2 linked regions of the Arabidopsis thaliana genome follow. The protein of the gene in region 1 interacts with the protein of each later gene in a pairwise test. Each region holds a gene or a part of one and is shown in the gene's direction. Other genes may lie near its edges.

Evidence for each region. Proteins that work in one complex are often made in the same cells at the same time.
Region 2: the proteins of AT5G54580 (region 1) and AT5G46190 interact in a two-hybrid assay, tested with the Arabidopsis thaliana proteins (one large-scale study listed by BioGRID).

The regions. Positions count from the first base shown.
Region 1 is NC_003076.8:22,169,097-22,172,853, forward strand, and holds the start of AT5G54580 (RNA-binding (RRM/RBD/RNP motifs) family protein), read left to right. Parts: upstream 1-2,069; 5' UTR 2,070-2,235; coding exon 2,236-2,419; intron 2,420-3,061; coding exon 3,062-3,130; intron 3,131-3,232; coding exon 3,233-3,339; intron 3,340-3,449; coding exon 3,450-3,560; 3' UTR 3,561-3,757. Other genes in the region: BGLU41 (beta glucosidase 41), read right to left, coding at 1-122, 208-367, 449-524, 696-754, 828-897, 993-1,139. UniProt on the Arabidopsis thaliana protein: Involved in C-to-U editing of mitochondrial RNA. Functions as minor mitochondrial editing factor. Controls 6 percent of the mitochondrial editing sites.
Region 2 is NC_003076.8:18,724,648-18,728,404, reverse strand, and holds the start of AT5G46190 (RNA-binding KH domain-containing protein), read left to right. Parts: upstream 1-2,155; 5' UTR 2,156-2,336; exon of another isoform or gene 2,337-2,340; intron 2,341-2,402; exon of another isoform or gene 2,403-2,542; 5' UTR 2,543-2,570; coding exon 2,571-3,188; intron 3,189-3,272; coding exon 3,273-3,757. Other genes in the region: AT5G46200 (carboxyl-terminal proteinase-like protein (DUF239)), read left to right, coding at 1-355.

The DNA.
Region 1 (3,757 bases):
CTTGTATCCCTGTGTCATAGCCTTGGATCGATACCCCATGAGGCTCATTGAAAGTGATCCAGTACTTCACTCTATCTCCAAATGCTTTGAAACAGGTGAATGCATAATGCTCAAAATCATCCCTGCACCATTTATTTAGCTTTTTAATTTCGTAATAATCTCACCATATCAGGATTTCACATTTTTATCAAAATATCATATACTCACACCACTTCTCTGCTTAGCCATCCTTCATATCTGTCTTCTAAGGCTTGTGGGAGATCCCAGTGATACAATGTCACATAAGGTTTGATTCCTTTGGCTAAAAGAGCATCTATTAGGCTGTTATAGTACTTAACTCCATCTGGGTTTACTTCCCCTGTTCCATCTGTTAAAACCAGAGTTTAAATAGACCCGTCGAAACGCACAACATTACTCATCATATCACAGCTGAATGAAATAGACTTACTAGGGAATATTCTTGACCAAGATATAGAGAATCTGTAAGCATCCATTCTCAGATCTTTCATCAGGTCTATGTCATTCTGTGATAGCAACAAAACAAAAGAAAGGCTCTTGCTTCTTAGATTCTCTCATTTGTGTCCTGTTGCGTCTTATCTTAGATTTGTTTGGATGAGGTTGCTCTGTCAAGAAGCAACCCTACTTTTATCTTCAAGCTTAAGTCAACAAATTTGTAATTGTTAGGTAAAACTTACGTGAAACCTATGATATTGATCAACCGTAGTATCCGCATTGCTGAAATCCAGTATCTTTCCTGTTGATCAAGAACGATACCATTGAGTTAACTAAAACCTTCGTGATGTTTTCTGGGTTTGTTTCTTTGATACCTGGTTTCTCCTTCGTGAAAGTGTCCCATATGCTTTCTCCTTTGTTTCCTTCTTTCACAGCTCCTTCGAACTGATTTCTTGCAAGAAAATGTTGCGATTGTCAAAATCTTCGTTCTTTCTTTGTTGGATCAGTTTGGAGAAGATGAAGAAGAAGAAGAATGTCACCTGGTAAGCTGAAGAAGCTGTTCCGAATACAAATCCATCTGGAAAATTTGCTCTGCTGATAGATTCTGAAGAAACGTGATCAAGAGGTACGAAGAAGACGACGAAGAACGGAAACAGAACTAAGACGAGTCTCATTAAAGATTCCATTTTTTGGGTCGCATGAATAGAGAAAGTGAGAGAAAGAGAGAGATAAGGGGATGGAATTTTATGGTGAATGAAAGATTTGGAGGCAAGAAAATGGAGTTTTGGTGTGTGTGTGTTTTTAATTTGTAAAGTTGAAGAAGAAAGAGGAAGAGTGCAAAACAAAAGCTCACGTCTTTTGAAGGCTTTTCTTTGGTTTTGACATTTGTTCTCTCTACTTTTACTGCACACGTTTCTTATACTTGTGCCAAAAACTTTTTAAAGTTGTTTACTCTCTTAAGATAAAAAAAAAGTTTGTTACTGAGTGACACTGATTCACCTAACTACCTATGTCTTTTTTTTAAAGATATTCTTCTTGATAGTCTTGTTATTTGTAACCCCAAATTACATGATAATCAAATTAAATTCATAGATTGAATAATATATTATGTACTTTATTTTGAGATGAGTTAATAAATTAATATATAAATATAATGTGAACTTTTATGTTAGCATCCATATCCATTTATATATGTTATTTTTTGTGTGTTTACACTTATCACAAAAAAAAAGGGGTGTATTGAACTTAGGTAAGATTTTGTGGATTTTAGATTTTGAGAGATTTTAAAAGACGTCTGGTCATTTGGTGGATTTTTAGAAGAATCAAAACAAATTTTAAGTGGCCATTAAAAAAATAAAATGGTCATTTAGTGAAATTTTATGTCAAATTTCATAAAATATTGAAGTATTTTGTGTGATAGTCCAAAAAACAATTTGGTAACCATTTAAAGACTCATAAACGTTTCTACGTGCCAATGAAAAAAAATCGAAAATTGGAGCTGCACATTGGCGAATTCCATTAATTACGAATATCAGAATTGTAAAGTTTCTATCACTAGTCCATCCATTCCGAAATTTTGAAGTAATACAAGGGTATATCCGTCATTTTATGTCAGTATTTTTTTTTTTTAGGTCATCTTCTCACTCTAGTAAATTACTCGTTTTCGTATCAATCGATTTTGTTTGTTCTCTGCTTTTTTGGTTTAGGGTTTTAGCTTTTCAAAGTTAAAACCTTTTTTTCCCGAAGAAGAATCAATACGACTCAAATCAATCAATTGAATCTATGGCGATGGCTATGAGACTTCCAGCGATATCTAGAGCTGTGACGGAAGTAGCTTCAGCTCCGGTTGGTTTGAGACGACTGTTCTGTTCAAATGCTTCAAGGTTCTCTTTTTTGTCTCCACAAGCTGAATCCCAAACACCGGCTCGTCCTCAGGCTGAACCTAGCACCAATCTCTTCGTCTCCGGTAACAAACCCTTTTCATCTCTCAATTCATTTCGAGGGTTTATCGTTGTTAGAGTCTATGTCTGTTTCTATTTGATGCTTTTTAAAGATCCTTCCTTTTTGAATTCAGATTTAGATTATCAGGTTCGTCTAACATCAACTAAGATTGTACTCTATGTGTTTAAGAATTTGATAAGTTCAATTATTCATTTTTGGTTCTGATTTCCAGAAAAATGTCTACTTTCGATTGCTTAACTCTAGGAATGAACTGTAAGAGTTAAAGAGAGTTTCTTTGCACTCAATTACTTGAGAATTCGGTTTTTTCGGTTAAAATTTGGATGCTATGTGTACCGGATCAGTGTCTTGTTTCAAGGGTCTATGTGGGCTGTTTCTAACATCTTCAAGGCTTCTGTTTTTGTAAAGTGCTTCCTAGTATCAATTAGTTTTTGAAATACTGCTCAACATTGGGCTTTGATGCAAGCAATTTTGATTAGGCTATTACTTATTGTTCCTTCATAGCCTCTGTTTCTCACTTTTATCACATGGCCATTGAACATCTCATACATACATCTAAGGAATTTTATGTGTTCGATGCTGTGTCTCAGTTTCGTGAAAGTGTCTTCTTCTCATGTTATCTTTATCTTTGTGTCACTGAATATTTCAGGGCTTAGTAAGCGCACCACTTCTGAAGGACTAAGGACTGCTTTTGCTCAGTTTGGAGAAGTTGCTGATGGTGCGTATCTTATAACGACACTATAAAGTTTATGCGCAGTAAACTAGTCATCGTGAAGAAAACTAACTGTTATGATTCCTTTCTCTTCTATTGGTTTTGTAGCTAAGGTTGTCACAGACAGAGTATCAGGATATTCCAAAGGGTTTGGATTTGTTAGATATGCCACTTTAGAAGATTCTGCCAAAGGCATAGCTGGAATGGACGGGAAGGTACTATTCATTCTAATATCCATTTCTCGATTACCATATCATAATCTATTAAGAGAGATTTACACTGACAATTACCAAACGGCTAATCTCCTCTCTGTGCTTCTCTGCAGTTTCTTGACGGTTGGGTCATATTCGCAGAGTATGCAAGACCGAGAGAGCAATCACAGTCATATCAACCTCAGAACAACATGTCTCGTCCTCCATACTATGGTAACCGCTAGAGAAACAGTTTTCTTCGGTTCTTATGAATCTTTTATATTCATATTTATGCTTCATTCTATCCTCTTCTATGATCGAACTGTGTTGTGCTTCGTCTCGTGTTATTACCTTTAGAAGATTAAAAACTTCAAATTATATTTTGAAGGAATAATCAGAAACTGTCATTTACAAAACCAAAGTATTAAGTGTAATAGTTTTT
Region 2 (3,757 bases), 3.4 Mb from region 1:
TTGGGTATTGACGATAGGATCCATAATGATAGGCTATTGGCCACGTCAAAGTCAGATGGTAGATGGAGCTTCTGAAGTATACTTCGGTGGATTTGCAGGAAACACTGCATCGTCTCAACCGACGACAAGCCCACCAATGGGAACTGGAGAGTTTCCGACAAAAGATTTGAGTCGGTCTTGTTTCATGAAACAGCTTAAATATGTTCTTTCGGATTATTCAGTTGTGGATATTAATGCCAACGAGGTAGAACAGTATGTGGATAGTCGTAAGTGTTATGGTGTAATGTTTCTCAAGTATGTAGATTATGATTCCAGAGAGACTCTTACGTTTGGAGGACCTGGTGGACAATGTTGATAAGAGTATTATTCTTCTACATGCATAAATATGGTCTCTGTTTTTAATTATTTTCATGCTTAGTAGTTTTCTTAAAAAATTAAAAATATTTTAGAAAAGTGAAATTTTTTAACTTGACAAATGATTATTATATTCATGTATAGTAGTCATCATGATTATTATACTTATGTTTTAATTTATTATAATTTTGAAATTACATATGCATATCTTGACAAAAAGTTTTTATCTATATATATAATTTTTTAAACAAAAAAAAATATCCACCCAATACAAAAAAAAAAGATTGTCTTACATCATTTCTTATATATTTTGCATTAGTTATAGATGATGTAAAAAAAAATTGCATCACTTAAATAAGTGACTTTAAAGTAGAGATGCATATAATTTGCATCGATTTATTACTAATTCATGTTAATGTTAAAAAATATTTACATCAATTATTATACTCCATGTAGAGTGAAAATTTTAAAGAACTAATAATATCAGTTAGTCACTGTCTATACGCTATATGGTACTCTACCGTACGACTAACGTACAAAGTATTTTAGAACAATGCCTAAACTGAAAGAAGTTCATGTGGAGTGTGTGTTGTTGAGAAGGTGGAAGAAGTTTAAGCCTTTTCCATGTGTTCTTTGCAAAGATCCTTCAAACTCTTCACAACAACATTGACCTTTTCTTCTGAACTACTCGAATCCATCTTATTATAAGCTGATTTAAGAATCTGCATCTTCAACCTTGGATCTAGAATAGCTCTCATAGCTAGAATGATACTGTATTGATCCCAATACTTATCAAACTTTAACTACATCTTACTAACTATCTATTCCACTCCAAAATCACCATAGTTTGCGTAGTCCTTCAAAAGACACTCAATTTTCCACTTGCAGAAAATACACATTAGTTGTAGGATATTTGACACTTGAGAAGTAGGCAGTGATGGTACTAAACGACTTCAAAAGGTCACAAATTCTCTCTCCAAGATCCCACTCATACTTAGAAGGAAATGATATATAGTTTCTGTCACACTCTTTCAAACTAGCAAATGCCTTACGAAACTTTAAAGTTCTGACAAGCATATCATAAGTTGAATTCCAACGTGTAGGAACGTCTAAAGATAGTCCAGCACCACTTCTAATCCCTACACTCTCAACACATGCTGCAAATGAAGTCAATCTCGAGTCGATTATTATTAATGATCATTCGTACGAATTCGTTGATCTTTTCGAGAATCGTTGTTTCGGCTTCGTTTTTAAATTAAGATTTTGAGAGCAATCGAAGATTTAAGGAGAACAAATGGATTTTAAGAATTTTAGGAGTAAAAGTGACTAAAAGGACGTCGTTTTAGTCTCAACGAAATAAAAAAAATTTGTAAATACCCATAACCCAATCACTGTTATGTGATATGTTGTTTACGCGATTAAAATTTAAACTAATTTTTTTTTGGTGGAAAAAAAATTAAATTAGTTTTATTACATAGTTATTTTACTTATTATAGTATGAAACCGGTACACGAAGACAAGTTTAAAGTATACGAGATAAGTATAAAGTATTAATTTATACGAAATAACATGTGAAACGAAGTACTTTTTTTTGCAGAATCAAAATCTAAACGTAATTAATCAATAAATATTTAAACAAGTTTAACCGTTTAAGCCTTAAAACTTAAAAGTAGATTTTAGGTTTAACAATATTGTTTCTGAGAAAATGGGCTAAACACCAAATCTAAACAAAAGTTAGGGACTTTCTTCATATTATATTATTGTTAACTATATATAACCGAAAGAGATCAATCAAAGTAAAAATCTCTTTTAACACATCGCCGTCATCTCTCTCTCTCTCTCTACTCTGCATCAGACAATCACAAATCTTTCTCTTTCTCTTTCTCTCTCTAACACAATTTAGAACAAAAGTTTCTTCTTTCTTCTCTCCCGAGAGGCCTCTCGCTGTTCATTGAAGTTCTCTTAGAATTTTCTATCACCTTGTATGTATGTTCATCGCTTGAATTGATAATCCAATTAACGAATTTTCAAATTGAATCATAAAAATCGTTTCTTTCAGTTTTTTCTTATCCACCCAATTCTCAAATTTCTCTCTTTTTTTTTTAGGGTTCCTCTCAGATTTCTCTATCGATAGAATACATTGCTTCTGCTTTTGATCAATTGTACTTCTTTTGTCTCTCTGTTTTAGGGTTGTGTAATTTGCAAAACAGACAACAATGGTTGAGCGTGGGAAGAGGACTCACAATCGTTTCAGAGACAACAACAATGACAACAACCGGAATCAAAGGAGAAGACTTTCTTACGAATCCGAAGAAAAAAAGATCGATAACAAAGACGATCTCGTTGTTGTTTACAGAATCTTATGCCCAAGTGGTGTCATGGGAAGTGTTATAGGCAAAAGTGGCAAAGTTATTAACTTGATTAGGCAAGAAACTAGAGCTAGGATCAAAGTTGTTGATCCTTTTCCAGGTTGTAGCGAAAGAGTCATAACGATCTTTTGCTCGGTTTCGGAGAAGAAAGACATTGTTGACATTGAGTATAGTGAATTGGATTACTCTGTTCCTTTGTGTTCTGCTCAAGCTGCTCTTCTTAAAGTCCATGATGCTATTGTGGCTTCTTTAGCTACTGCTGCTGAGAACACTAAGATTGATAGAGATGACTTTAGAGAATGTCGTCTTTTAGTTCCGTCTAGTCAGTGTTCTATTGTCATTGGTAAATCTGGTTCGATTATTAAGAACATTAGAGGTAGAACTAGAGCTAACGTTAAGGTTGTCTCTAAAGATGTTTCTGATCCTTCTCACACTTGTGCCATGGATTTTGACAACATTGTTATGGTTAGTATCAGAATTCCAGTAGAATTTGTTAGCATATGTTTCTTTGCTTATTTTAATCGATGTTTCTTATTCTTATTTATTTAGATATCTGGTGAGACTGAATCCGTGAAGAAGGCACTTTTCGCTGTTTCTGCAATCATGTACAAAGTCAGTCCTCGAGAACAGATTCCTCTGGATACAACTGTCCAAGAAGTTCCCGCTAGTATTATAATTCCCTCTGATCTGTCTATCTATCCACAAGCCGGTTTATACCCAAGTCAGGATTCTATTTTCCAACATGGGGCTAATGTTTCATCGTTTATCGGTACACTACCTCAGGGTTATGGAGAAAATGCTGCAAATCCTGTGCCGGTTTTTTCTGCTTCTGCTCTTCCTGTTGTTCATGGTTTTGGTGGGTCTTCCAGATCAGAAAAGTTGGCTATAAAAGTTATTTGCTCTTCTTCCAAAATTGGTCGTGTTATCGGGAAAGGAGGATTAACCATTAAGGGAATAAGACAAGCAAGCGGGTCTCATATCGAAGTTAATGACTCGAGGACAAATCATGATGATGACTGTGTTATCACTGTCAC